Linked DNA regions of Oryctolagus cuniculus. The protein of the gene in region 3 binds, or shares a complex with, the protein of the main gene of each other region. Links are inferred from orthologs where the notes say so. Each region holds a gene or a part of one and is shown on either strand. Other genes may lie near its edges.

What was found.
Region 1: MED7 (region 3) and MED13L share a complex: the UniProt entries of both Homo sapiens proteins name them as parts of the mediator complex. The link is inferred for Oryctolagus cuniculus from reciprocal best matches to the Homo sapiens genes MED7 and MED13L.
Region 2: the proteins of MED7 (region 3) and MED21 are in contact, whole or in part, in a cryo-EM structure (PDB 7EMF), measured with the Homo sapiens proteins. The link is inferred for Oryctolagus cuniculus from reciprocal best matches to the Homo sapiens genes MED7 and MED21. Residues at the interface, in NP_001094286.1 of Homo sapiens: Phe72, Asp73, His74, Lys75, Leu78, Arg79, Asn82, Ile85, Leu86, Phe89, Leu92, Leu93, Leu96, Phe116, Val119, His120, Ile123, Asn124, Tyr126, Arg127, His129, Gln130, Arg132, Glu133, Leu135, Arg136, Met139, Glu140, Gln142, Lys143; in NP_004255.2 of Homo sapiens: Asp3, Leu5, Thr6, Leu8, Gln9, Val12, Asn13, Leu15, Ala16, Phe19, Ile23, Ile62, Ala66, Ile69, Asp70, Ile73, Asp74, Leu76, Pro77, Ser78, Glu79, Ser81, Ala83, Gln86, Ser89, Leu90, Leu93, Glu96, Asn97, His98.
Region 4: MED7 (region 3) and MED20 share a complex: the UniProt entries of both Homo sapiens proteins name them as parts of the mediator complex. The link is inferred for Oryctolagus cuniculus from reciprocal best matches to the Homo sapiens genes MED7 and MED20.
Region 5: MED7 (region 3) and MED8 share a complex: the UniProt entries of both Homo sapiens proteins name them as parts of the mediator complex. The link is inferred for Oryctolagus cuniculus from reciprocal best matches to the Homo sapiens genes MED7 and MED8.
Region 6: MED7 (region 3) and MED25 share a complex: the UniProt entries of both Homo sapiens proteins name them as parts of the mediator complex. The link is inferred for Oryctolagus cuniculus from reciprocal best matches to the Homo sapiens genes MED7 and MED25.
Region 7: MED7 (region 3) and MED16 share a complex: the UniProt entries of both Homo sapiens proteins name them as parts of the mediator complex. The link is inferred for Oryctolagus cuniculus from reciprocal best matches to the Homo sapiens genes MED7 and MED16.

The regions. Positions count from the first base shown.
Region 1 is NC_091452.1:12,510,230-12,514,038, reverse strand, and holds part of MED13L (mediator of RNA polymerase II transcription subunit 13-like), read left to right. Parts: intron 1-2,385; coding exon 2,386-3,114; intron 3,115-3,809. UniProt on the Homo sapiens protein: Component of the Mediator complex, a coactivator involved in the regulated transcription of nearly all RNA polymerase II-dependent genes.
Region 2 is NC_091440.1:124,258,695-124,262,026, forward strand, and holds the end of MED21 (mediator of RNA polymerase II transcription subunit 21), read left to right. Parts: intron 1-797; coding exon 798-898; intron 899-1,894; coding exon 1,895-2,071; 3' UTR 2,072-2,730; downstream 2,731-3,332. UniProt on the Homo sapiens protein: Component of the Mediator complex, a coactivator involved in the regulated transcription of nearly all RNA polymerase II-dependent genes.
Region 3 is NC_091437.1:44,110,622-44,114,916, forward strand, and holds the start of MED7 (mediator of RNA polymerase II transcription subunit 7), read right to left. Parts: upstream 2,709-4,295; coding exon 2,007-2,708; 3' UTR 2,002-2,006; intron 1-2,001. UniProt on the Homo sapiens protein: Component of the Mediator complex, a coactivator involved in the regulated transcription of nearly all RNA polymerase II-dependent genes.
Region 4 is NC_091436.1:127,988,248-127,992,774, forward strand, and holds the start of MED20 (mediator of RNA polymerase II transcription subunit 20), read left to right. Parts: upstream 1-1,610; 5' UTR 1,611-1,750; coding exon 1,751-1,764; intron 1,765-4,149; coding exon 4,150-4,304; intron 4,305-4,527. Other genes in the region: BYSL (bystin), read right to left, coding at 961-1,228. UniProt on the Homo sapiens protein: Component of the Mediator complex, a coactivator involved in the regulated transcription of nearly all RNA polymerase II-dependent genes.
Region 5 is NC_091438.1:129,634,643-129,638,921, forward strand, and holds the start of MED8 (mediator of RNA polymerase II transcription subunit 8), read left to right. Parts: upstream 1-1,306; 5' UTR 1,307-1,414; coding exon 1,415-1,420; intron 1,421-2,669; exon of another isoform or gene 2,670-2,688; coding exon 2,689-2,807; intron 2,808-4,176; coding exon 4,177-4,279. Other genes in the region: KICSTOR complex protein SZT2, read right to left, coding at 1,195-1,221. UniProt on the Homo sapiens protein: Component of the Mediator complex, a coactivator involved in the regulated transcription of nearly all RNA polymerase II-dependent genes.
Region 6 is NC_091449.1:7,728,276-7,732,084, reverse strand, and holds part of MED25 (mediator of RNA polymerase II transcription subunit 25), read left to right. Parts: intron 1-692; coding exon 693-855; intron 856-964; coding exon 965-1,092; intron 1,093-1,259; coding exon 1,260-1,347; intron 1,348-1,433; coding exon 1,434-1,627; intron 1,628-1,963; coding exon 1,964-2,092; intron 2,093-2,669; coding exon 2,670-2,755; intron 2,756-2,835; coding exon 2,836-2,893; intron 2,894-2,975; coding exon 2,976-3,083; intron 3,084-3,809. UniProt on the Homo sapiens protein: Component of the Mediator complex, a coactivator involved in the regulated transcription of nearly all RNA polymerase II-dependent genes.
Region 7 is NC_091447.1:58,472,515-58,476,323, reverse strand, and holds part of MED16 (mediator of RNA polymerase II transcription subunit 16), read left to right. Parts: intron 1-71; coding exon 72-241; intron 242-1,026; coding exon 1,027-1,458; intron 1,459-1,859; coding exon 1,860-1,965; intron 1,966-2,907; coding exon 2,908-3,063; intron 3,064-3,809. UniProt on the Homo sapiens protein: Component of the Mediator complex, a coactivator involved in the regulated transcription of nearly all RNA polymerase II-dependent genes.

The DNA.
Region 1 (3,809 bases), on a different chromosome or scaffold from region 3:
TTTTCTGTCAGTTCATTCCTCAAATGCTCACAACAGCTGGGACTGGGTTAGGATGAAGCCAGGAACTAAATCTCAGTCTAGAGCTCCCACGTGGGTGACAGGTAACCAAGTGCTTGAGTCACCTGCTGTCTCCAAAGGTGTTTTTGCTAGTATGAACCTGGAATCGGAAGTGAAGTCAAAACTTGAACCCAGGCATCCTGATATGACCAAATGACAGATCTGCAAGTCCCTGTGTTTTTGTTTGTTTTTGTTTTTTAAGATTTATTTATTTGATAGGCAGAGAGAATCTTCCATACACTGGTTCACTCTGCAAATGCCCTGAGGGTAGGCCAGGTCAACCCGGGAACCAGAAACTCCATCTGGGTCTCCCACACAGTTTGCATGAATCCAAGTACTTGGGTCATCATCTGCTGCCTCCCCAGCACATTAGCAGGAAGCTGAATCAGAAGTTGGTGTAACTAAGATTTGAACCAGTGATCCCATGTAATGGCTTGACTCCCTCCACCATAACGTCTGCGGCCCTCAAGGCTGGTGTGTGTGTGTGTGTGTGTGTGTGTGTGTGTTTTAAATAGGTATTTGTGTACCAGGTCATCATTCTGTTGACTTTCAGATTTTAGCTCTACACCTGACTTCTCACATATGCTGTAGTCTTATATTTTAGGGGCTATCCTTAAAAAATAGCCTTCATACTGACATGTTTTTTTTTCCCTGCAAACCAAGTACATTATTGTAGTCCTACTACAATTTTTCTTCTCAGCCTAGAAACCATCATATGTTGATTTTTGCTCGTTCTTTAGATCTAACCTGTCGTTGTATCTTATGTTGACTTCCTCTGAAATACCTATTCTCGTCCAGCCTCCCTCCTCTTTTTCCTACCATGTGTTTTTTGCAGTGTTTGGCCTTGCTCTGGTTTCTTCCTGCTGTCTACTCCCAACAGGTTCTCTCCTGCTCAGTAATCAGCCACATTTCTGCTGTAACCATTTGGCTATATAGCTGTCATTAAATATCAGTGAAACATCTGACTTGGTTGGTAAGATTATCCACTTTGCAGAAAGTCTTTACTTTGAAGAGTCTACCATATTAAATTGGTCTTTGAGCAAATCCAAATCAGAAAGTTTTATGTAAAAGATTTCTGGAGTCTGGATTTTCAAATGAGCACCCTTAGAAGATATGATTGGGAGATTTTCCAAGGAAACGTCCACATGTTTCTGTGGTGCTGTGCCCTTGGGGCTTAAAGCACACCGTTAGCTGTATTGTCGATAGCGTTGTGCTTTGACAACTTTCTTGAATGTCGAAGTTTTGTTTTATTATTTCAGAATAATGAAGACTTTAGCAGGAGTGTTTTCAGATGATCTGCAGCAGGATTACTAGACCCATTAGGGAGTGGTCCACTTCTCACACTATTCAGCGGCCTCATGGAGTAGAGCGGCCATCCCGCTGTCCCAATAAACCATCCCATTATGCCATACAAATCCCTTTTATTGCCCGCTAGGGCACCATTTAGTGCAATGTGGTAGTAATTTAATGCCTAGTGGCCTCAGAGAGTTACTGCTACGCTGCAGGAGAGCTTCCATTTTTCCCTGGGAATGATTTATACATTGGGAGACACTGGCTGACCTGCTGTATAACTTGGTTGCACAGATTAAACCTTGGCATCATCTAGTGGGCCCTTACTGAGCCATTTCTCACACCTGTGCTTGCCAAGAAGTATGTTAGCATCTGAGCAGACTTGGTGCTCCTGCTTAGAGGGTCCAGGTGCGTGTGTGTGTGATGTTAGCTCACAGCCTGTTTCCTTTTCTCTCGGTTTAATGTGTGTCTGTAAGATCCAAAGCTGTCTTTTGTTCTTCCCTGGATATAGTGACATACAAGGTTTTCTAGTACATTTATGTTATTAAATGTTCTTGGACTTGACCCTCATCATCATAGGGGAGAGTTACATACATAGTTATTTTATTTCCAGTTTACAACAAGCCATTATAAACCATTCTATATTTGAGTTACTAGAGTATTATAAAATAGAAATTGGAAACTTTGTTTTTCCTGAAATGAAAGGTGATCTCATGATTCTGCTCTCATGGTTTGGAGATGCATTATGAATGCCTTAGCTAAGGCCCTTTCCAAATTTAAAGATGTGAGTTTTTTTTTTTCCAAATTAGTAATTTTATAGGGGTTAGAAATGCATTCATTTATGTTTCTTGCTAAGTCCATGTCTCCCCTCTTTCACCTTGTCTTTGATTGATCCTTTACTTTCCACCAGCGTGGATTGTGGTTTTTAGTCCATGCTTTTAGCTGTGGAGTAAATCTTAGAGGCCCTTTTTTGTGATGTTATGGCGATGCTATCTAGTCATATTCATATTTGTTTCTTGGTTTTAACTCTCATTTCAGGCATAAACTTTTGAAACGTGCAACAGGACCCACTCGACCTCCCACAATATCTCAACCAGGGTTCAGTGCAGGACCATCATCATCTTCGTCTTTAGCACCTCCTGCTTCTTCTAAGCACAAAACAACAGAAAGACAGGAAAAAGGAGACAAGTTGCAAAAGAGACCCTTGATACCATTTCACCATAGGCCCTCCGTGGCTGAAGAGTTATGCATGGAGCAAGATACAGCAGGACAGAAGCTAGGGTTGGCAGGGATAGACTCCTCCTTAGAGGTATCCAGCAGTAGGAAGTATGATAAGCAAATGGCCGTGCCTTCCAGAAATACAAGCAAGCAAATGAATCTGAATCCTATGGATTCACCTCATTCCCCTATTTCCCCGCTGCCGCCAACACTCAGCCCTCAGCCACGAGGTCAGGAAACGGAGAGTTTGGACCCGCCATCTGTTCCTGTGAACCCAGCCCTCTATGGAAATGGGCTAGAACTCCAGCAGTTGTCTTCTCTGGATGACAGAACTGTCCTCGTAGGCCAAAGACTGCCTCTGATGGCAGAGGTCAGCGAGACAGCCTTATATTGTGGGATTAGGCCCTCGAACCCAGAGTCATCAGATAAGTGGTGGCAAAGTTTTCGTCTCCCATCCAGTGATGATGCTGAGTTCAGGCCTCCAGAGCTCCAGGGTGAGAGATGTGATGCCAAAATGGAGGTGAACTCAGAGAGTACTGCATTGCAAAGGTAAGGCAACTGCCTGCCGCACCTGCCTGTTCTCATTGCAAGGCACAGACTCCCAGGAGTGAGGCCTCTCCTCCTGATCTTGCTTGCCACACCTTCAGACCCAGAATGAAAACAGCTTTCTTCCTCATTCCAGATTCCGCATGTAGAAATCAGATGCCTTGTTTGTGATGAGGTTTAACATACATGTCATTATTTAAACACTCTGGCATATAAAGGTCTCATTGTGCTGTTTTGATATGCTTAGTGTAAGTGTACTTTTGGCCTTCTATTAGTCAAAGAATATAGCTTTAGGAAACTTTCCACTTTGCAGTCAGTGACTCGCTTGTATGCCAACACCATGAGGAAGGCTATGTGAGCATTCGGGTGGTATGTTGTGAGTCTAGTAATAACAACTTAATATTTATACTGCCTTTGAGCCACCCATTACTCTACACATAGCAGTTTATTTAGTCTTCACCACAGCTACGTTATTATGTTAGTTTCATGCCTCAGAAACTGGAGTCATGCAGCTATTAAGTGATGCAGATGAACCTAGACAGTCTGTACTGAGAACCTGTGCTTTCAAGGGGAATCATTGAAATAAGATGCAAAATCACGTATTCTTGACAAAAGCCTGTTCAGTTTTGCTTATTCACAAATTTAATCTATAAAAGAAAATCCCTCCATAAGTGAGTGTTAAAGTTTAGTTTCAGTTT
Region 2 (3,332 bases), on a different chromosome or scaffold from region 3:
TTAGATTTATTTAGAAATTCACTCTGTTGCTTCTTTATACAGATGTTACTGAGGTACTACTGGACGTTTTGTATGTCATACCAGAAATTATTTATTGTAGTTAACTTGCATAATACCATAATTCTTCTTGTGTCATACCAGATTGGTGCCCTTGGAGAGAATTAGGAATTTGGCTGAACTTTACTGACGGACCCTGATAATTAGGGCATCCCATGTACAGATTCATTGATTCTAGTGTCTTCCATATTATCCTAATACATGAAGTGAACATGCCTTAGGCTTAATTCTCTGAGCCTGTATTAAGTTAAATATGTAACAGAACTGGTGCCTTGAAATTGATTTTTTTCTTTTAAATATTTCTATTTGAAAGGCAGAGTGATAGAGAGTGAGGGAGAGACAGAGAGCATGAGAGATACCTTCCATCTACTGGTTCATTCCCCACAGGGACATAAAGGCCGGGACTGAGCCAGGAACTCCATCCAGGTCTCACACATGGGTGGTAGGGGTCCAAGTACTTGGGCCATCTTCTGCTGCTATCCCAGGGACATTAGCAGCGAGCAGGATCAGAAGCAGAGGAGCCAGGACTTGAACCAGCACTGGGACATGGGTTGCCAGCATTACGATTAGTGGCTCAACCCAGTGCATCACTACACTGACTCATTAAAATAACACTTTGATCATTGGAATTCTAATATTAAAAAGTTAGGTGAAGTTTCCTGGTTTCATTAACTTGAATCTAATTTTCTGTTTGTGTAAACCCGAGATTTTCTCATACTAATTGAGTAGTCTTTCTGCAGAGTATGCCCAGCTTTTTGCAGCACTTATTGCACGAACAGCAAAAGATATTGATGTTTTGATAGATTCTTTACCCAGTGAAGAATCCACAGCTGCGTTACAGGTAACAACCTTTTTTCTTAGAGAATTTTACTGGTAGCAGAGAATTTTGAATTGAAGGAGATAGATTTATTGACTTTCATTGTAATATTCAGAACTATTTTATGATTATTTTTAAGGATTTACTCTTGGATTTACTTGAAAGACAAAGTCAGAGAGGGAGCCGGAGACAGAGATACCTTCCATTCACTGGTTCACTCCCCAAATGGCCACCACAGTCTGGCCTGGGTCAGGCTGAAGCCAAGAGCCTGGAATTCCATCTGGGTCTCCCATGTGGGTGACAGGAGCCCAAGCAGTCATGTGGGATGCTGGCATTGCAGGAGGTGGCTTAACCAACTGCATCTCACAACACTGTCCCCATACTTTCCATACTCTAGTTCACTTCCGAAATGATCACAGCTGGACCAGGCTGGAGCCAGGAGCTTCTTCCGGGTCTCCCATGTAGGTGCAAGGGTCCAAGGACTTGGGCCATCCTTTGCTGCCTTCCTAGGCACATTAGCAGGGAGCTGGATCTGAAGTAGAGCAGCCAGAACTTGAACAGGCGCCCTTATGGGATGCTGGTGTGGCAGATGATGGTTTACCGTGCTGCGCCATGATGTCAGCCTCTAAGATGGGCGTTTCACTAATTCAGTGCTAGTATTGTCTGTTGAAGATTGTGCTGAATAGCTGTACAGTAGTTGTCCAATTTTGAGTTAGAAGGAAACCTTGTATGTTCTGGTTTATCTTTTTCTAGCAAAGAAGGAAAGGATGGTGGCTTTCTGAACGAGGAATAAAATAATGGATAGCAAAGGCAGTTTGGAACAGAGTCATACTAGATAGTAAGATCTCTTGAAAATCCATTACTTTATAATCATATGGAGGAACTTAAGTTACCTCACTTTGAGAATTTCTCCTATTAAAACTGTATCACTGGTTGCAAAATCACCGAGATTTAAAAATAAATACCTCTACTGCAGTCTCTTCTCCACTCTAAAAGATTGTCAAATTTATGTCTTAAAAGGCTGCTAGCTTATATAAGCTAGAAGAGGAGAACCACGAAGCTGCCACCTGTCTGGAGGATGTTGTGTACCGAGGGGACATGCTTCTGGAAAAGATCCAAAGTGCACTCGCTGACATTGCACAGTCCCAGCTGAAGACGAGGAGCGGCACCCACAGCCAGACCCTGCCGGACTCATAGCACCGGCACGTGCCGGCGGCTAAGAACTGTCTCAAGGCCATTAAGAATTCTACCTTGGATTAAATGTCAGCCTTACCAGCAGTTACAGAAACGTTAAACGTTATGACATGTTTTACCTTTGTAGCTGTTTTTAAAATCTTCTATTTTTACTCTTGATAAACAAGCATATAAAGTTGTGATTGAACCAGCTTTAAACTATCAGTTTTTTTTTAATCTGAGATTACTAAGGCAGATACTGCATTTGTGATCAAAATACAAATAAACATGCACTGTTCTTTGGTGACAAAGTTTGTATGTTGTTTAAAACTCAAATTTCTGTAATAGTCCTGGGGCCAGCACTGTGGGTGGCAGGAAAAGCCACCGCTTGCAGTGCTGGCATCCCATATGGGCACTGTTAAGAATCTGGGATGCTCCTCTTCCGATCCAGCTCTCTGCAATGGCCTAGGAAAGCAGTGGAAGATGGCCCAAGTCCTTGGGCCCCTGCATCTGCATAGGAGACCCAGAAGGAGCTCCTGGCACCAAGCTTTGGATCCACCCAGCTCTGGCCATTGCAACCATTTGGGGAGTGAACCAGTGGATGGAATACCTCTCTCTGTCTCTCCTTTCTCTCTGCCTCTCTGTAACTCTTTCAAATAAATAATCTTAAAAAAAAAAAAAAATCGGTAGTCCTTTCATAAATGAAAACAACCCTGAAGCCAGAAGAGACATTCTCAGTGCAGAGATGGATCTTTCAGTGGGCTGGTATCTTTGCCACTATGGAGGTGGCATTGTATAAATTTGGAGCTTTGAGAAAGGAAGTTTCTGAAAATTTGTCAGTTCTCAGAAACCCAAAGTGTTAGTGTGGCCGGGTGAGAGTAGGTCACACTGAGGCAAACCTTTGCTCTTGCAGAACCTCATGTCCCTTTGAATTCACCTCCACGTTTGCTTTGACTGAGAAAGCCTTGACTCAATGAAATTCCCAGGCTGCTGTGAGTTTTCTTCATCCTGATTGGCTTGTTCTCTTTATCTACAGGCCTGTATTCTGCTCTCATTACCCCCCCCCCCCCCCCCGCTGTATTTTAAGAGGGCCATCCTCCCATAGCAGTTATTTCAGAGTTGTTTTCTCCATCGCTCCTCAGTGTGTCAGCATGTCAGCTACAGTGACTGATGCAGCTCTGGGGTCTCCTGCAGTCCACGGCTTCTGCCCAGAAATCTGAAGTTGAAATATCTTCCACACTGTCCTGCCTCTGTCTCAGAATCTCTAGGACTTCACTTGAATCCG
Region 3 (4,295 bases):
ACTGCACAGAACTCCTTGATTAGCTCTGGGCTAAAGTGAAGCTAACCTATGGCATTGCAATCCATCAATACCTCTCCCCTCAATGCGCACACACACACACACACACACACACAAATTTACAAGTAACTGTTGTGACTCTTAACAATGTTAAATGATTTCATTTCTTACATGCAAGGATTTTCAAAGTGGTCCCAAATTGGTTTTGTACCTCAGCCCAACACTCCTCTCACAGCAATGTATTTTTTAAAAAGTCAAAAGAGAAACGGTTGTTGAGTTGTTCAAGAGCCATTTCCATCTTGCTCACTGACCAAGGTATGAGGGAGGAGGTGTGGAACAAATTTAATTTAATTAAGGGAAACCAGAATGTCCTTTGGGGGTCTCTGGTCCCAAGGTCTACACCAAGCATATTCCAGTTGGTAAAAAAAAAAAAAAAAAAAAAAAAACCTTAAATTTGAGACTTGTTAATTAGTTCTTGTCTGCTAGAAGTGTTAATTGGAAACAGCCTCTGTCTGAATGCAAAGAATGCATATTTCACACAGGGAAATTGGCCTGTAACCATTTTACAGTGAGTTGGTGAGACCTTAATGCAGCAAATCCCTATGCTAGTAAACAGGAAATGAGGGAGAAATCAAAAGCACATCACCCAGGAAAAGGCCCATCTCTACAGATGGTAATCTTGAGCATGCATCAGAATTGGAGGAAGGCTTAACACCAAGCTTGCCACGCCCTGTGCACCAGCAAGTTTCTGGTTCAGAAGGTCCAGGGTGGAGCCAGAGGAGCTTGATTTCTAACAAATCCCCAAGTGATGCTAATGCTGCTGGTCCAAAAGGACAATGGAGAACCACTGGCTTCTGTCAGAGAGTAGCAGGCAAAGATCCTGATATGAGGCCAATGGGCGGGAGGGGGAAGGAGGGAGGAGAAAAGAAAGTACAGAAATAAAATCTCAGTACCCAAGACAGTTTATTTCTTGTTCACATTAAGTTAGCTGTAGAAGGAAGAATGGAGTTAAAAGAGGACCTAATCTTCACATTCTAGAACCAAATTACTATAAACTGTTGTCACCAGGCTTGCATGGGTGTGGGCACACACCTAGCCGACTGGGGAACAGAATGGAAGATCGTGCAAGAAATCTTAGGGCACAGACTCCATTTCCCAGAACTTAGTCACATGGCCTCACACAGATATAGGGCAGTAGGGAAATGTGGTCACTGGCTGAACAGTGATATCTCAGCAAGAAGAAGCGCGAATCACTGGTGGACATCGAGCAGTTGCTCCCACCAAACCCTTCTCCCACTGCAGTCTACCAGCCTTGATCATGTCTGAGCTTAGCTTTAAAAATGTGTAATTTCAAAGAATTACAAATATTTTTAAAAATCTGTAATTTCAATCCTCTTAATTACTAAAATCTGTAATCTAAAATTTCTAACTAAGCTGACCAAAGACTTTCTACCCAAGTGACTGAGAAAAACCAATTTATGGGACCTACCAAGGTTCAAGATAAGGAAAAAGAGTCTACTGAGGTAGTAGAGTTACAAGAATCACAAGGAAAAATAAAGTTTTTGTTTCATAACAAATGGGTCTCTTTTAAAATGCTATACTACCTTATGCAGATTAGGTAAATTTTTAAATATTACATAATTTCACATTTTAGAGTATCTATCCCTCATTCTTAAAGCAAATGACAAATTTACTTTTTAAGGATGAAAGTTTGCTATTACCAAGGACACTGTCAAACTTTTACTCCAACTCCAAAAAAAAGAATGCCCCACACATCTGCAGCAAACATTTTCTTTTTCAGGTCACTATTCTTAATTTACGGGTCCCTGTTTGCCTACACTTGTTATATACTGAAATTGCTGCCTATGGCATTACGTAAGTGAAAAAGCTGGAGAGTCAAGAAAAAGGCCATTTAAACTTTTAGTTATTCATTTTAAGACTGCCCAAAAGAAAATAAACCAGTAATATTATACTATTTACCAAAAGGGAAAAAAGAAAACTAACATGAGTCACGGTCTTTCATTCATTTCATCAATTAGGACACACAAGGCAGCATCTTTTTCTATAATCTGGTCCCTTCGATGACCTGAATTTTCTCTTTGCTGCTCACTCTGTCCAGTACAATTGTTGCTATCATCAGCATCCATTGGTTCAGTTTTTACTTTTATTCCTGCTTCTGAGTGGGGTAAATCATCAGGCAAAGAGGCCAAGCAATTCTGAATCATCTCAATCACTCGCTCCAGATGCTTCTGAAACCTCTCGGCTGTTTCAAGCCTCTGTCGTTTCTGGACTTCCATCATAACTCTCAAGGTCTCTCTTGCTTGGTGGGGTCTGTATTCATTTATGAGATGATGCACATGGACAAAAAGCAGCTTAAGATCTTCCAGCTTCTCTTCTCGTTTTATACTCCCAGGGCTCCTTATCAAGATATCTAAAAGGTCCAAGAAATTAATAAGGATAGACATATTGAGTTTCCTCAGTTCTTTCTTGTGATCAAATTGCATAGGATGAAGCCTTTCGATGCCCTGACTTTCCAAAGGGCGGATAATAAGATCATCACATTGGAACTGGTTGCCAAACATCATATAACTGTCTTTGATTGGAGGGGGTGGCTTGGGAGCTAGACCTTCCTGAATATTTTCATCAGTGTATTCCTTGATGTACTGCATAGGAGGTGGAGGAAGTGCACTCACTTGCTGTGGCTCACCCATTGTGGAAGATCAAGCACCTACAAAAACAAACCAAAGATTCACAGAAGAACTACAAAACAAACCTGTCACATTTAGTGTTTACAGACAGAGCACTCCCCTTTTCTTCCGGTAGTTTCAAAGCTAACACTTACAACTCAGAATGGATGCCACCCTTTTCTAATTAAGCACTATATTCTCAACAACCCACATTATTTTTCCTTCCCTGTTAATACTTCTCTCCCAATATCTTGGAGTACCTTTTCATTTATAAAGAAAAGTCTTCTGGATTCTACACCACTTACCTTTTATGTCCCATTTCTCCACATCTCTTTATAGCAAAACTACACATGCTGTCGCCCAAACACATATCACAATCACTTTTTTTTTTAGAAGGTAGATGATTTTAAGATTTACTTTATTGATTTGAAAGGCAGAGTTACAGAGAGAGAAGGAGAAACAGAGATATCTTCCATCTGCCTTTTCATTCCCCAAATAGCTGCTAAGGACTGGGGCTGGGCCGGGGCCATGTAGAATCCAGGAACTTCATCCGGATCTCCTTTGTGAGTGATATGGGTCCAGGCACTTGGGCCATCTTCCACTGCCTTCTCAGGCATATGAGAGGAAGCCAGATAAAATTGGAACAACCAGGACTTAAACCAGTGCCCATATGGGATACTGGTGTTGCAGGGAGCCATTTAACCTGCTGCGCCACAATGCCAGCCCCTACAATCACTTTTACTATTACGAAGTGATTTCCCAAAGTAAATACTTATAACTCAAACATTTTGACAAAATTAACATTACTAAAATCTAGATACCCAGTATCATCCAAGGCTCCTAGATGAAATGATTATCCAAGTCTGTATCTTTTTTCTACATTTTATGCTACAATTTACTAACCTTTCTGTATCTACTATAGAAACTTGAAACCCAAATTCAAACCCACAGCTTCTATGGCCACAATCACTTCTACTTACTCCTTTTTAAACATAGGTATTATCATCCAATCTGAAGATTCTCAAGTGCTCTTTTAAACCGATCTGAACAGTTTTAAGACACACCCCTCCGACGTCAGGAGGCGGCAAGTACCCGTGTGCCTCTGCGGATGCGCACCCCTCGACTTCAGCTGGCATCTTTCCAGGGTCAACTCCCTAAGAGGCATCACTGTCTCACATCCTCTCCACATCATCTTCCTGCCAAAGCTATGACCTAAGTACACGATCAATTCTATTCTTCGGATGAGGATCCCAAGTCTTAAGGGCACGTGTCTGCAGATCGCATAACTACTAACGGCACAACAGCAATTCCTACCCCACGTCCTTTCAGCTCCAACCCGCGAAATCTCTTCAATCACAAATCCTTAAGCCACGAACCGTCTAAGAGTACAAGAAACACTTGGGACTCTAACACCATTATGTTTATGTTTATTCCGTATCACCTCTCTAGACAGAACTTTTCTAAAGTAATGGAGGTTTGTTTTATTTGTTTTCAGGAAGATCAGCGCGGAGCGTCGAAACCGGTTCTCTGGCTGAAAAGCCACCTTCTAGAATGTGCTGGGGGGGGGGGGGTCCCTGGGGGCGGGGAGATTGCACATCACCAAAGCAAGGA
Region 4 (4,527 bases), on a different chromosome or scaffold from region 3:
AAATAAATAAATCTTAAAAAAAGAAAAAAAAGAAAGAAACAGCTTAGGAAACCCACATCCCATAACTGAATGCCAGGGTTCGAGTCCTGGTTCCACTGCAGATTCAGGCTTCCCACTAATATAGACCCTGAGAGACAACAGGAGGGAGCTCAAGTCATTGTGTCCCTGCAACCCACCCGGAAGAACTACACTGAGTTCCAGGTTTGGTCTGGCCCAGCCCTGGCCGTAGCAGGCAGCAGGCGTTTGGGAAGTAGATTAGGGGAAGCAAGTTTTCTCTCTCTGCCTTTCAGATAAAGATACTGTAGCCAGAAGAGCAGGGTTCAATTGCGTCAAATACTGCTTTTCTACAAATAAGATAAGCTCTGAGAAGTCGGTTAAACAACTCAGAGGTCAAGGCTTCTCCCCTATGAGAAAACAGTCAACATTTTTCAATCATCTCTCCCTCCACTTGGCCCCTAAACAATACTGCTTTTTCTGTTATGAACATTCGGTTTCAGGTCTCAGCTTCCAGGCTGGGCAACTCTGACCCCTACACGAATGCTATCGTTTCCAGAGAAACGAGACTTTCTTTCCCATGGAATTTACTGTTCTAATTGTCTCTCTCTTGGTTTAGACTGTAAGGTCCCGAGCTATATCTTGTTTATTTCTGCACGCAATCCATCAAAACTCCCAGCATCGTGCAAAGCCGGTAGCGAGCATCCCATATTTACAAAACCGTTGGACAAATGCTAGGAGAACTTGGTGGCCTGAGCCATCACTTCCTATTGGCCTAACTTGCGGGACGCGGCGAAAGGAGCACTAAAAACAGGGAGCGGGCCTGCAGGGTTCGGTCTTCCACCTGCCCTGCTCTCGGTAGAGAGCAACGTGCAACCCGGTTTTGAATCCAAGGTACTCCCCTGCCGGACACCTGTGGGCCGTCCACCCCCCAACCCAACTACTGCCTTCCCCGCGGACGCTCACCCAGCCGCGTGGCGCGCTCCCGAGGCTTGGCGGGCCCGTCCCCAGAGCCGTGCTCGGTTTCCAGCTCCTCCTGTTGCTGCCGTGCTTGCTGCAAAATCCGCCGGCTCAGCCGGGGCCCCACATACTCTTCCTCCTCTTCCCCGGTTCCGCGGCCCCGCCGCTTTTCCCGGGCACTTGACCGCACCGCGTTCCCAGCCAGGATCTGCTCGGCCAGGGGCGCGTGTTTTTCCTGAGCCCCAGCCCCACGGGCCGCTTTGAATTTCGGCATTTTTCTCGATAATGCGGCCCGGCAAACTCACACGTGGGTACGGCGACAGCCCAGGATGTGCGCTCGGCAATGAACGCCCAGGTCTGTGCCGAGAGGCCACGCGCTCACAGCGCCCCTACGCGTTCGGAGGCCAGAAAAGCAGCCAGCACCACTGCACTCCCGCAGGGAACTCCCGAGTCCTGGAGCCGGAGCCCGGAACAAATGCATTGCCTTTGACGTTGACGTCTCTAAATGGTGGCAGCCCGGGCCACGCTTTCCTAGCTTTCTGGATCTAGGACCAGGGTGGCCAACCAAACGGAAACTTCCGGAACTGCAAGCCAGGGGAGGGGCTGGGAATCGGGCCGATGACCTCACTGGAGGCGTCACCCAGAGTCGCTGCTGGTGCGTCTAACCGGCGCTCTGTTTTTACGTACTTCCGGAGCCCCTCCCGCGACCCGAGCCTGCGGTAGTTTTTAGTTCTTGTGGGCTTCGGGAGAGCGCTGTTTCGGCTGTGTGGTCGTGCCGCTTTCCAGGCCTGACGCTATGGGAGTGACCTGGTAGGATCACAAAGGGTTTTATGGGGCGGGACTTGGGTCGTGAAGGTCCCTTGAAACCTGGAGGGTCGGGGACTGAAGTCCGCCGTTCTCCGGGAGCTGAGCAAAATGCCCTCGGGCTGCGTGGATGTGGGCACTCTAAGGGCCGTGAGTCTCGGGCCCTAATGGGCCCCATTGCTCCTGGAAGGAAGCAAGGAAAAGGTTTTATCTCAGGAACCTTATGCATGGGTTGTGTACCCTCTTCTCTTTTTCTTGGTACGTCTTGCTACCCTTGAAATCCTAGTAGTGCAGAAAGTGGGACTTCGAGGTCGGAAACAGGGCTTTTCAGACTAGAACCCACCCGCAGGTAGGGTTAAAGCTGATAGGAGATAGGCAACGAGGCGGTGTTTGTGTGTTCGCCTCCCCCTACCTGTAGCCACCCAATAATCAGCCTGTATCTGGTTCTCATTCGGGTCTACAGGATCAAAATGGAAACTACTGGGAATTAGAAGATCAGGTTTCCAGACACTTTACTTCCTCATGACCTGCCTCCTACTACGTTTATACGGTTGATTCAGTTTCAGTGCACTTAAAAAAAAAAAAGATTTATTTATTTGAAAGGCAGAGTTAAAGAAAGGCAGGGGCAGAGAGAGAGCTTCCATCTGCTGGTTCTCTCCCCAAATGGCTGCAATAGCCGGAGCTGGGCCGATCAGGAGCCTGTAGCTTCTTCCAGGTCTCCCATGGGGGTGCAGGGGCCCAAGCACCTGGGCCATCTTCTACTGCTTTCCCAGGCCATGACAGAGAGCTGGATCGGAAGTGGAGCAGCCGGCTCTCAAATCGGCACCCACATGGGATGCCAGCTCTACAAGCAGCTGCTTTACCCTCCACGCCACAGCACTGGCCCCCAATGGACTTTTAAATCTCTGAACATGTTCTCAAACCCAGATGGAAGAGGATGGGGTGGAGGGGAAGGGTATGAACCCAGGGATCTTGGAGACCTTAGTTCCAAGGTGCTGGGTCTCTGCACCTTTTTTCTTCTTCTTCTTTTTTTTTTTTTTTTTAAGTCTTGGTTGTGAGCATCTCATCAGAGAGGCCTGGAGGCCAGGATATCTGAAGCCAGGAGTTATAGGCTTCTCTTTTTTTTCTCTTTTTTGAAAGATTTGAGAGGTAGAGTTACAGACAGTGAGAGGGAGAGACAGAAAGGTCTTCCATCTGCTCGTTCACTCCCCAGATGGCCCCAATGGCTGGAGCTGCGCCAATCCGAAGCGCTTGGGCCATCTTCTGTTGCTTTCCCAGGCCATAGCAGAGAGCTGGATTGGAAGAGGAGGAGCCAAGACTCGAACCGGCACCCATATGGGATACCGGCACCACAAATGGAGGATTAACCTACTGCACCACAGCACTGGCCCCCTAGGCTTCTCTTTTAAAAATAGTTGGGGGTAGAGGGAACACAATTTCTCCCAGTAGCCAGGGGTTTCTGGGGCTTGCACTCTTGTTTCCCCTACCACAACCCTCCCAAGCCCTGCAGAGTGAGGGTGCTGGTGCGGGATGGAGGTGGAAAAGTTGCAGCACAGGGGTTGGGACTGTGTGTAGCAGATTAAGTTACTGCCTGCAGTGCCGGCATCCCTTATGGGCACTGGTTCAAGTCCTGGCTGCTCCACTTCCAATCCAGCTCTCTGTAATGGCCTGGGAAAGCAGTAGAAGATGGCCCAAGACCTTGGGCCCCTGCACCCACGTGGGAGACCTGATGAAGTTCCTGGCTTTGTTGCCGGCCATTCCTGGGGGCGCCCTTATCAACTTTTCCAAAATCCTAGGACCTCTGTCCCTTGTAGCTTCAGGGATTCTCTGAAAGTACTTCAGAAAGTTCACAGAAAGTATGTATTATGAAAAACTATGCAATGTTTTGGCACCAAAATCTTTCTTTTTCTTTTTTGACAGCCAGAGTGGACAGTGAGAGAGAGAGACAGAGAGAGGGAAAGGTCTTCCTTTGCTGTTGGTTCACCCTCCAATGGCCGCCGCAGCCGGCAGCCGGCGCACCGCGCTGATCCGATGGCAGGAGCCAGGTGCTTCTCCTGGTCTCCCATGCGGGTGCAGGGCCCAAGCACTTGGGCCATCCTCCACTGCACTCCCTGGCCACAGCAGAGAGCTGGCCTGGAAGAGGGGCAACCGGGACAGAATCCAGCTCCCCGACTGGGACTAGAACCCAGTGTGCCGGTGCCACTAGGTGGAGGATTAGCCTAGTGAGCCGCGGCGCTGGCTGGCTGGCGGCTTCTATTTCCGCATCTTTACAACGTGAGGGAGGGGTGGGGTCGTAGCTTCTGGCTTGGCTGAGCCACAGTTCTGTGGATAGAATGGCTAAGTGAGTATGTGTGTGTCTGGGTACTGACACTGTGGTTCTCTCCTTCCCAGTGTGTCCCAGATGCCTGTGGCCGAGGGCAAGAGTGTCCAGCAGACCGTGGAGCTCCTCACCCGAAAATTGGAGATGCTTGGGGCAGAGAAGCAAGGAACGTTTTGTGTGGATTGTGAGACTTATCACACGGCTGCCTCTACCCTTGGAAGCCAAGGTCAGTGAGATGGGTATGTAGGACGGCTGGAATGTGCCTTGGAATTCACGGGCATTAATGAGAGTTCCTTATGCTTTTGTGTATTCCAGAACACATGGCAAGATGTCTTTGTAAATTTATTCATTCTTGGTCTTTTATTTCTTAGACCGGGGATATTTTTGTTTTTCTGCCTTTAGAACTTTTTTTAAGCTTTGAGGTATAAGTGATAGACAAAGAATTGTAT
Region 5 (4,279 bases), on a different chromosome or scaffold from region 3:
CTTACAATGGCGGCCGGCATGCAGGTAAGGTATACTATTTGTATTTTTTTTTTTTTTTGACAGGCAGAATTAGACAGTGAGAGAGACACAGAGAAAGGTCTTCCTTCCGTTGGTTCACCCCCCAAATGCCTGCTACGGCCGGCGCTGCACCAATCGGAAGCCAGGAGCCAGGTGCTTTCTCCTGGTCTCCCAGGCGGGTGCAGGGCCCAAGCACTTGGGCCATCCTCCACTGCCTTCCCGAGCCACAGCAGAGAGCTGGACTGGAAGAGGAGCAACCGGGACAGAATCCAGCGCCCCAACTGGGACTAGAACCTGGAGTGCAAGCGCCGCAGGCGGAGGACTCGCCTAGTGAGCCGCGGCGCCGGCCTATTTGCATTCTTACACACATTCCTCACTGTTCCCATCTGTTGGTATGTTCTCCAACAGTGCTGGGCATCTCTACCCAAATCTGGGATTTTATGCTCAGATTTTCTAACTCCAAAAATCTGCTACTCTCAGGCGTATGTACAGCACTTGACCTATCTTACTTTTCAGTTTTCTTTTCTGAAAATGAGAATGGATATTGTGCAAACGTGAATGACACAATGTATGTAAAGTTGCTTGCATGGTCCTTGGCATCTGACAGAGAGAGCTTAAGCCTTTTCTGGCTTCACACACGTGATTCTCACAACAGACTAACAACAAAGAAACAGAATCCAGGAAGTTAAGACTTGCCCCAGGCTTCAGAGAGAGCTAAATAGCAGCGCTAAAATCCGAACTGGGTCTCACTCCGAGCCAAGCCCCCCCCCCCCCCCAATAAAACCAAAGCTGCTTTCCCCATCATGAGTGCTAAAACTAAATTAACTCGTGCTGTTTACTGCACGCCCGTGTCTGAAGACACGCACCGGCTGCTGCCGTCCAGCGCACTGAAACCGCGACAGGAACCAAATCACAGGGTTTATTAACACCACTGTCACTAGGTCAAGTCGGCGACGCGGAAGAGATTTCAGTAAGCACAACAGAGCGAGCGAAGCATTTCTCCTCCAGCCTCCGGAGGAAAGAACGGACTGCGGGGATGCGGGGCTGCAAGGGTCCCTGCCGACGCTACGCGGCCCGGCCGTCGGCCGGCCAGGAGGCCGAGGTCGCGCCTGCCCGCACCGCCCGCTCCTCCCGCTCGGGTCTCAGGGCCCAGCTCTGCGCCCGCCCGCCCCTCACCTCAGGCTCCGGGCGCTCCGAGGCCATCACACAGCCTTCCCGCGCCGGCCCGGGCCAGTGAGGCAGATCCACTGTGACCCCTGACCTGGCTACCTCAGTACCGGGCCGGAACCGGAAGTCGGTGGGCGGGCCAAGCCCCGATTTCCTTGATTGGTGGACAAAACCCTCAGAAACTGGGAAACCGGAAGAGGAAGTGGTTGCGGCTGCCACGGCTGCCGCAATGCAGGTGAGAAGCGGGGTGGGCCTAGTGGCAGCTAGCTGTCTTTGGGTAACGCAGCGAGAGTGGGCTGGCTGCGGAGAGTTAGGAGTTGGACCGAAGAGGAGAGGGCGGAGGCAAGAGGACGCGGGGCCAGGGCAGAGGGGAGACGAGGCCAAGTGGAGAAGCGGCGCGGATGCTACGTGGGGGCGGAGTCCGCTGACAGGGGAGAGACTAGCAAAGTCGGGAGGGCGGAGGCAGCCGCCGCTTGTTTGGGGCTGGGAAAGCATCAGGATGTAGTTTGCGAAAGCCGAGATACAATCCAAGGGAGACGGCCCGAGAGAGACATGAATTGGCTCAAGCCTCAGCCTAGGCTGTTGGATGCAGACGTAACGGCGAATCTGCAATCGGAGAGAAGCCCGAAGGGTGAAGGAATTGTGGGCCGAGCTGGCCAGAAGCTAAGTTGTTATCAACTGAAACCTTGGGTGAAACCCAAGATGATGCTCCTGTCAGGCGCAGTGTGGGGTTGGCATCATTTTTCCCAGTCTGTGCCTGAGAGTTATTAAGACGGAGGAAATGAAGTAAAACGGAAGATACCCCCCCACACCGTGGGAAGGGAATGCCTGCAGACCCCCACTACTTGACATTGCTTGTCATGTGAGCTGGGTGGGTGGTTTTGCTTTTCACTTGTCGCTTTGCTTCTTGGATGGGGCAGTGTTTCAGTAAGTCCTTCTGGGTCAGCTGAGCTTGTGAAAGAGGCACAGGAATATTGGCACAGAAATAAAGGAGAAAGTTGAAACATCACCCACTAAGCACGAATGAGGAGCGAGGGGCAGGGGCGTGCAGAACTAGGGTTCAGAGAAAGCTTCATGTCCAGGCAGATTTCGCAGGGGCTGTGCTGTTGACAAGAACAGGGCAGATTCTAGGACGAAGGAAGCTAGGGCACACGTGCCACAGAAATGTGCATAGGATGATGAATCCCAGGCATTATGTCTGGCAGGAGTTTCTCAACAAGGGAGAGTAGGGCACGTGCAATACAGAGGAAAAGCAGGCCTGGATTTGGAGGTGTGAGAGCGAGAATCAGTTGGTAGGAGGACTTAAGGTCAGGTGAAAGGTCTAAGGGTTGGTGCTGTCTGTAACCCAAATACCAAAGATAGAAAATAACCTGGCTGTCATTCCAGTGAGATCCGGTGTTAGCCAACTGCGGTTGGCATACTCTCTCCGACGCTTTTCAGCCTTCTTCTAAAGGTGTCATGCTCATATCTCTCTGGGTAACCAGCCCATCTCTGTTGGTGCAGAGGGAGGAGAAGCAGTTGGAGGCGTCATTAGATGCACTGCTGAGTCAAGTGGCTGATCTGAAGAACTCACTGGGAAGTTTCATTTACAAGCTGGAGAACGAGTATGACAGGCTAACCTGGTAAGGGTTGCCAGGGCAAACTGGGGAGGGCTCCTGACGAGTAGTTCATCTCTGATGATGTAACCATTTATCAGTTTGCAGATGTCGGGTAATTTGGAAAGAGCTTGGTTTCCCAACATTTAGTAAGTGAAGTTTGGCTGAGGGCCTCCGTGGCAAGGAAGTAGAGAGCGGCCCAGTTTCCCAAGCCACGTTCTTTCTTTCTTTCTTTTTTTTTTTTAATTTTATTTTTATTTATTTGAAAGGTAGAGATATAGACAGAGAGAGACAGAAAGGTCTTCCTTCCGTTGCTTCACTCCCCAAACAGCCACTACAGCCGGCGCTGCGCTGATCCGAAGCTAGGAGCCAGGTGCTTCTCCTGGTCTCCCTTGCGGGTGCAGGGGCCCAAGCACTTGGGCCATCCTCCACTGCCCTCCTGGGCCACAGCAGAGAGCTGGACCGGAAGAGGAGCAACCGGGACTAGAACCTGGTGCCCATATGGGATGCTGGCACCGCAGGTGGAGGATTAACCAAGTGAGCCAAGGCACCGGCCCAGCCACGTTCTTTCTAGCTTTTGATTCTTTTTTTTTTTTTTTTTTTGACAGGCAGAGTGGATAGTGAGAGAGAGAGACAGAGAGAAAGGTCTTCCTTTTGCCGTTGGTTCACCCTCCAGTGGCTGCCACGGCTGGTGCGCTGCGGCCGGCGCACCACGCTGATCCGATGGCAGGAGCCAGCTGCTTCTCCTGGTCTCCCATGGGGTGCAGGGCCCAAGCACTTGGGCCATCCTCCACTGCACTCCCTGGCCACAGCAGAGAGTTAGCCTGGAAGAGGGGCAACCGGGACAGAATCCGGTGCCCCGACCGGGATAGAACCCGGTGTGCCAGCACCGCTAGGTGGAGGATTAGCCTAGTGAGCCGTGGCGCTGGCCGCTTTTGATTCTTACCCTTTTCATCTCTGGTCAGGAGTTCTCTCTCAGTGGGTCTTCCCACTATATCTCAGTCCATGCTGGATCTCTTGCCACTAATGTGGCTGTCTTTTAGATCCAGCCTACTGCTGAAGTATGGCTCCTGTTTCCCGGCAGAAAGGAGGCTTTCACCCAGTTTCTGATTTTTTTTGTCATAGAATAGCCATGGTTCCTGTTTTCCAGTGTTTCTCACCCCATTCAAACAATGAACTGCCTTTTTCTGCCTCCGTCAGGAGCTGAAAGCGTGTCCCTCTTTCCTAACCCCGCATTCCTGTTCCAGGTCTGGGTCCTGCCGAGGCTCGTGATGGGGATGAGTCTTTTGGGGGTCAGTCTCAGTTTTCCTAATCTGAGGACTTGTCAAAGGTTATCTCACTGGGAGACACCCCAGGGAAGGGCTAGAACATTCTGACACTTTCTTACCACCACTAGGCCCTCTGTCCTGGACAGCTTTGCCTTGCTTTCTGGACAGTTGAACACCCTGAACAAGGTCTTGAAGCATGAAAAGACACCGCTGTTCCGCAACCAGGTCATC
Region 6 (3,809 bases), on a different chromosome or scaffold from region 3:
CTCTGCCCTACATCAGGGCACCCACTTCCTGTCGTATCCCCCCCACAGCAGGGCCCCCACTTCCCGTCCTGTCCCCCCCCAGCAGGGCCCCCACTTCCCATCCTGTCCCCCCCTGCAGCAGGGCACCCACTTCCCGTCCTGTCCCCCCACAGCAGGGCACCCACTTCCCATCCTGTCCCCACAGCAGGGCCCCCACTTCCCGTCGTGTCCCCCCACAGCAGGGCACCCACTTCCTGTCCCCCCGCAGTAGGACCCCCACTTCCCGTCGTGTCCCCCCCCACAGCAGAGCCCCCACTTCCCGTCCTGTCCCCCCCAGCAGGGCCCCCACTTCCCGTTGTGTCCCCCCCCCGCAGCAGGGCACCCACTTCCCATCGTGTCCCCCCGCAGCAGGGCACTCACTTCCCGTTGTGTCCCCCACAGCAGGGCACCCACTTCCCATCTTGTCCCCCTACAGCAGGGCACCCACTTCCCATCATGTCCCCCACAGCAGGGCACCCACTTCCCGTCCTGTCCCCCCCCCACAGCAGGGCACCCATTTCCCGTCCTGTCCCCCCACAGCAGGGCACCCACTTCCCATCTTGTCCCCCCACAGCAGGGCACCCACTTCCCATCCTGTCCCCCACAGCAGGGCACCCACTTCCCGTCCTGTCCCCCACAGCAGGGCACCCACTTCCCGTCCTGTCCCCCCACAGCAGGGAATCCACTTCTCCGTCGTGTCCCCCCGCAAGCTGCCTGCGCTGCGGCTTCTGTTTGAGAAGGCGGCGCCCCCGTCCTTGCTGGAGCCGCTGCAGCCGCCGGCCGACGTGAGCCAGGACCCGAGGCACATGGTGCTGGTGCGGGGCCTCGTGCTGCCTGGTGAGCCCGGTGCCCGCGGGGTGGGGGCTGGGCTCTCTGCTGCCGCCTCTCTCTGACCTGGGTTTGGATTTGGTCCTCTCCATCCTGAACCCCTCCTGTTGGCTCCCAGTTGGGGGTGGCTCGGCGCCAGGCCCCCTGCAGCCAAAACAGCCGGTCCCGCTGCCTCCTGCTCCGTCCTCGGGTGCCGCACTCGCAGCCCCCCAGCAGCCTCTGCCGCCCGTGCCGCCGCAGTACCAGGTACGGGTGTCACTCCTGGGCCTCAGGGAGGGCGTCCTCCGACATCGGGGCTGGGGGTGGTGGCCGCTGCCCCGGGGTGTTAAGAGGCTGGCGTCTGCCTCGTGGGGCTGTGGGGGTGCGCCCCATGGCGTTCACAGCCCCCACCAGCCGCTCCCCTCTGCCCCCAGGTCCCTGGGAACCTGAGTGCAGCTCAGGTCGCCGCCCAGAACGCCGTGGAGGCCGCCAAGAACCAGAAGGCTGGCCTGGGCCCCCGCTGTGAGTCCTGGGGCCGCCATGGACGTGGGCTGCGGGCAGGCCTCAGCGCGGCCCTGCGCCCACCACGCCCTCGCTCTCTCCTGCAGTCTCGCCCATCAACCCTCTCCAGCAAGCTGCCTCGGGAGTGGGTGCCCCCTTCAGCCAGGCCGCTGCGCCCCCACTCCCTCCAGGACCCCCTGGTGCCCCCAAGCCACCGCCTGCTTCCCAGCCTAGCCTGGTCTCCACTGTGGCCCCTGGCGCGGGCCTGGCGCCCTCTGCCCAGCCCGGGGCACCGTCCATGGTAGGTGCCTGGTGCCCCCATCCCGCTCCCTCCTGGCTGCCGGAGCCATGCAGTGTAGGGGACGAGTGATTGGCCCTCCTAGAAGCACCCAGGGGGGCGGGAGGCTTGTGGCTCGACGGTCACAGCTGCTCTGCAGCCTGGGGCTGCCCGGCCCAGCGCCGTGGGGCGTGGCGTCCTCGGATGCAGTGGGGCCGGGCGCGGTGCTGTCCCCAGGAGCGGCCAAGCGCTGTCCTGGGCGTGGGGTGAGAGGAGGAATCTGGTCCCGGTCTTCCTGACCGGCCGGCCTCCTGCAGGAGGTGGTCTGAGCCCGCGCCCTCCCCTGCTTCCCCTCCGCAGGCCGGCACAGTGGCCCCTGGCGGGGTGAGCGGCCCCTCCCCGGCCCAGCTGGGGACCCCGGCCCTCGGCGGGCAGCAGTCGGTCTCCAACAAGCTCCTGGCCTGGAGCGGGGTCCTCGAGTGGCAGGAGGTGAGTGGCCGCCGGGGCGGGGGTGCTGTCCAGGGGCGAGGCCTGAGGACACGGGGCTTGGGGCTGTGGGTTCAGGATGAGCGAGTGTTCAGAAGTGCGAGGGAAGATCCCAGAACTCTAGGACGTGGGGTGTAGACGGGCCTGGTATGGTGGGGACATGGGGTGCAGACAGGCCCAGTGTGGCGGGGACATGGGGTGCAGACGGGCCCGGCGTGGTGGGGACGTGGGGTGTAGAAAGGCCCAGTGTGGCAGGGATATGGGGTGTAGACGGGCCTGGCGTGGTGGGGACATGGGGTGTAGATGGGCCCGGTGTGGCGGGGACGTGGGGTGCAGACAGGCCCAGTGTGGAAGGGACGTGGGGTGCAGACAGGCCCGGCGTGGTGGTGTCTGGGGGGCCATGGACTGTGGGGAGGGCCTGGAGGAGGCCCAGCATTTGAGGCATTGGCAGGCCAGAGGAATGTGGGACGGGAGGCCTGGCGCAGGGCCGGGGCTCCAGCACACCCAGACCTTTGGGGCTGCCCAGCAGGGGCCGGGCCGAGGCCTGGGGCCCACTCACTGACACACTCTTCCTCCCGAGAAACCCAAACCCGCCTCCGTGGACGCCAACACGAAGCTGACGCGGTCCCTGCCCTGCCAGGTCTACGTGAATCATGGGGAGAACCTGTAGGTGCTGGGGGCGTGGCGGGGCAGGGGCGGGGCTCTGCTGGGCCCCGCCTCTCCTGACACTTGTGTCCTCCCCCCAGGAAGACCGAGCAGTGGCCTCAGAAGCTGATCATGCAGCTCATCCCCCAGCAGCTGCTGGTGAGAGGCGGGACCCCTATCCCCCGCCCCGCCCCGCCCCGCGCCTTCCTCGTGCCCCACGGGGCTTCCGTGTCTCCCGCAGACCACGCTGGGCCCGCTGTTCCGGAACTCGAGGATGGTGCAGTTCCACTTCACCAACAAGGACCTGGAGTCCCTGAAGGGGCTCTACCGCATCATGGGCAACGGCTTCGTGAGTGCTCCCCGGCCTGCAGGAAGTGCTGCCCCCACAGGGCTCCCGGGGTGGCCTTTCCTGGGGCGCTGTCCAAGTTGCAGGTGTACCCCAGGCCGTATGCCGGGGGTCCTGTGTGCTTCCACAAAGGCAGGCTAGGGCAGAGTGACGGCAGCCCTGTGCCCCCGGCTGGGCTCGCCTGCCCTGGGCGGAGCCTGCCCTGGGCGGAGCCTGGTTGCCTGGGAGACTGGGGAGGAACATCACCCAGCCTGCCCGCGGCCGGGATGCGACGCTTACCCAGGCAGCAGTGGCGGCTGCACACAGTGGGGAAGGGACAGGGGCAGGCAGTCAGCTCGCAGGGCCTGCCTCAGGGCAGGGCACCGAGGCGCAGGAGTGAGCTGGGGTGGCCGTGGTCGGCCCCCTCAGGAGCCCTGCGAGATGGGTCGCCCGCCCGGGCTCAGCCACCGGGGCCCGGGGAGGCGCCTGCCTTGTCCTGGCCGCTTGTCTGCACGGCCACCTTGTGCCCGCTGCCGCCTGGCCGTTCCGGGGCCGCAGGGCTGTGGGACTCCTGCCCTCCGTTCTCCTTGATCCCGTGCCTTCGGGCAGACGGGGTCTGAGCCCGCGCCCACCCTGTGAGCCCGCCCGCGGCCTTGGCGTCTCCTGGGGTGGAGGTTCGGAGTTGCAGAGCTGGACCTCGCCGGTGTCGGGCCCCCTCTCTCTCCTGCCCCTCTCGGCGCTCGGCGGCAC
Region 7 (3,809 bases), on a different chromosome or scaffold from region 3:
CGCCGGTCCCGCCTGGCCGGGTCCCCGGGCCTCTGCCCTGGCCCCCACGTCCCGCGACGTTGTCCCCGCAGGCTCCCGGCTCCTGTCGGCCGACGCCGACGGGCAGGTCAAGTGCTGGAGCATGGCTGAGCACCTGGCCAACAGCTGGGAGAGCCTGGTGGGCAGCTCGGTGGAGGGGGACCCGATCGTGGCCCTGTCCTGGCTGCACAACGGCGTGAAGCTGGCCCTGCACGTGGAGAAGGTGGGTGCTGCCCGCGCCCGCCCCAGCACCCAGGCCGCCGTCCCCAGGACCCGGCCCTCACGCTGAGCCACTGGTATCCCAGAATTCCCTGCCACTCAGGGGCTGTGCTGCGCCTGCCACGGGTGGACGGCCACGTGGTGTGAGCCGGCGCCCACGGCCACGGGTGGAGTCCAGCACAGGCTGCAGGCGGCTCAGCGACTGGGGTCGGGTGCAGCCGGGGGTCTGGGGGAGGGGCCTGGGGGAGGGGCCGGGGCAGCCGGGGGTCTGGGGGAGGGGCCGGGGCTCCCGCGTCTCTCCGGGCGTGGGCGTGATGTTAATCTGAAGGCCTGATGTGGCACTGGAGCGGCAGCAGCCCCCCACGATGTGGCTGGGCCTGAGAGGCACACGCGTGTCCCCCCTCAGCCCTGTCCGGTGCACGCGTGTCCCCCCTCAGCCCTGTCCGGCACACGCGTGTCCCCCCTCAGCCCTGTCCGTGGGCTTCCGCGGTAGGCGTGTCCCGGGCTCCCGCACAGGCAAGGCGGGGTCAGCGAGGGCGGGGCTCCGGTGGTCTGGGTGCGCGGGCAGGGGCGGGGCTCCGGTGGTCCGGGTGCTCGGGCAGGGGCAGGGCTCCGGTGGTCCGCGGGCGGGGCTCCGGTGGGGCGGGGGCGGGGCTCCGGTGGTCCGGGTGTGCGGGCAGGGGCGGGGCTCCGGTGGTCCGCGGGCAGGGCTCCGGTGGGGCGGGGGCGGGGCTCCGGTGGTCCCGGTGCGGCGCGCACGGCAGCCCGGCCCCTCCGCCTCTCCCGCAGTCGGGCGCCTCCAGCTTCGGCGAGAAGTTCTCCCGCGTCAAGTTCTCGCCGTCGCTCACGCTGTTCGGCGGCAAGCCCATGGAGGGCTGGATCGCCGTGACGGTCAGCGGCCTGGTCACCGTGTCCCTGCTCAAGCCCAGCGGGCAGGTGCTCACGTCCACCGAGAGCCTGTGCCGCCTGCGCGGCCGCGTGGCCCTGGCCGACATCGCCTTCACGGGCGGCGGCAACATCGTGGTGGCGGCGGCCGACGGCAGCAGCGCGTCCCCCGTGCAGTTCTACAAGGTGTGCGTGGGCGTGGTCAGCGAGAAGTGCCGCATCGACACGGAGATCCTGCCCTCGCTCTTCATGCGCTGCACCACGGCGCTCAGCCGCAAGGACAGCTTCCCGGCCATCACCCACCTCAAGTTCCTGGCCCGCGACATGTCCGAGCAGGTGCGCCGCCCGGGCTCCGGCGCCCGCGGCGATGGGCGTCGGGAGGCCCCGCCCCCGCCCACGCGCTCGCCCAGGGCCCCGCCCCCAGCTTGCTCTGCGCCCCCCCCCCCCGCGCGCGCCCAGGGCCCCGCCCCCGCCCACGCGAGCTCGCCCAGGGCCCCGCCCCCAGCGCGCTCTGCGCCCCCCCCGCCCGCGCGCTCGCCCAGGGCCCCGCCCCCAGCGCGCTCTGCCCCCCCCCGCGCGCTCGCCCAGGGCCCCGCCCCCAGCGCGCTCTGCCCCCCCCCCGCCCGCGAGCGCTCGCCCAGGGCCCCGCCCCCCGCGCGCGCGCTCGCCCAGGGCCCCGCCCACGCGCGCTCGCCCAGGGCCCCGCCCCCAGCGCGCTCTGCCCCCCCCCCCCGCAGGTGCTCCTGTGCGCGTCCAGCCAGACCAGCAGCCTGGTGGAGTGCTGGTCCCTGCGGAAGGAGGGGCTGCCCGTGAACAACGTCTTCCAGCAGATCTCCCCCGCCGGTGAGGGCGCTGGGGCGGCCGCTCATGCCAGCCCCGCGGGCAGGCTCGGGCGCCGGGCACTGGGCACCGCACCGGGTCGGGGGTCTGGGCGGGGGCAGGCGGCGGGCGGCAGCCTGGGCAACATCGGGCGCCGGGTCTGGGGTCTGGGCGCAGGTGGGCGGGGGGGGGAGCATCGGGCACCGGGTCTAGGTGGGCGGCGGGCAGCGGCCTGGGGGGCATCGGGCACCGGGTCTGGGGGGCATCGGGCACCGGGTCTGGGGTCTGGGAGGGGGCAGGTGGTGGCCTTCCCCCAACACACAGCCTGCTCCTGCTCCCCCCCACAACCTGCTTCCCCCCACACACAGCCTGCTCCCCCCCCCACACAGCCTGCTCTCCCCACACAGAGACCCCCCAAGGACACAGGTGTTTTTCCCGCAGTGGACACCCCAGCTGGCCTGGAGGCTGCCCCAGGGCCCTGGGCTCCCCGGCAGCCGCCCCCCAGTGCTGGGCGCACAGGCAGGGCGTGACGCTCGCGGGGCCTGCGCCCGCCGTTTCTTCAGCCCTCGTCCTCGCGCAGCTGTGGGCCCCTGGGAGGCCGGGACGCTGGCTCTGTCCAGCCCTGTCCCTGTGACCGCGGCCCCGCCCAGAGCCCCGTCCCCCTCCCCTCGACCAGGCTGGGTCCCCACGCTCCCGCAGCAGGGCCCTGGGGGCTTGAGTCAGGGAGCCTGGGGCCCCGTCAGACCCGAGATGTGGCCCCTGCTGTCCACCCTCCTCGCCGCGGCGTCCACCCCGGGCACCTGCCACAGTGCAGCCTGGCTCGGGCAGGCACGGGGTCAGAGCCTTGGTCAGGGGCCGGCCTCCGGGGCTCCGCCGTGTTGGACGCGTCCTGTCGGCCCGCGGGGGCAGCTGTCCCCTGGGGTGGGCGGGGCGGGGCTCAGCGGCCACCTCCTCCTCCTCCTCCAGTTGTGGACAAGCAGCCCATGATCCTCAAGTGGCGCATCCTGTCGGCCACCAACGACCTGGACCGGGTGTCGGCCGTGGCGCTGCCCAAGCTGCCCGTCTCGCTCACCAACACCGACCTCAAGGTGGCCAGCGACACGCAGTTCTACCCCGGCCTCGGTAGGCGTGACGGGGGGGGGGGGTCAGCGTGTCCTGGGGTGGGGGGGTCAGCGTGTCCTGGGGCTGGGCAGGGGTCAGTGTGTCCTGGGGGGGTCAGCGTGTCCTGGGGCTGGGCGGGGGGGGTCCATGCCCTGGGGCTGGGCGGGGGGGGTCAGCGTGTCCTGGGGCTGGGGGGGGTCAGCGTGTCCTGGGGCGGGGCAGGGGACGGTCAGCGTGTCCTGGGGCTGGGGGGTCAGCGTGTCCTGGGGCTGGGCGGGGCGGGATCAGCGTGTCCTGGGGCTGGGGGGTCAGCGTGTCCTGGGGCTGGGCAGGGGGGGGTCCATGCCCTGGGGCTGGGCGGGGGTGGTCAGCGTGTCCTGGGGCGGGGCAGGGGGGGTCCATGCACTGGGGCTGGGCAGGGGTCAGTGTGTCCTGGGGCTGGGGGGGGTCAGCGTGTCCTGGGGCGGGGCAGGGGTCCGAGCCGGGCTCTTGGCTTGTGTTGACGTTTGGATGCCGGCCCTGAGCTCCCCAGGTCTCCACACCAAGCCTCAGTTTGCACAGCTGCCCAGCCCAGGCCCTGCCCCCGCCTCACGGCCTGCGGCGAGGGGAGGGACAGCCCCCACCCCCTTCCACCCCAGGCCCTTTGTGTCTGGCTCCTGGAAGGCCGAGGCACCCCTGCCGGGAGCCCCAGGTCCTGGCGGCTCCGTCCCTGTGGGAACAGGGGCCGGAGGCCGCGGGCAGCCACGGCCACACCCTGACCTGCCCGC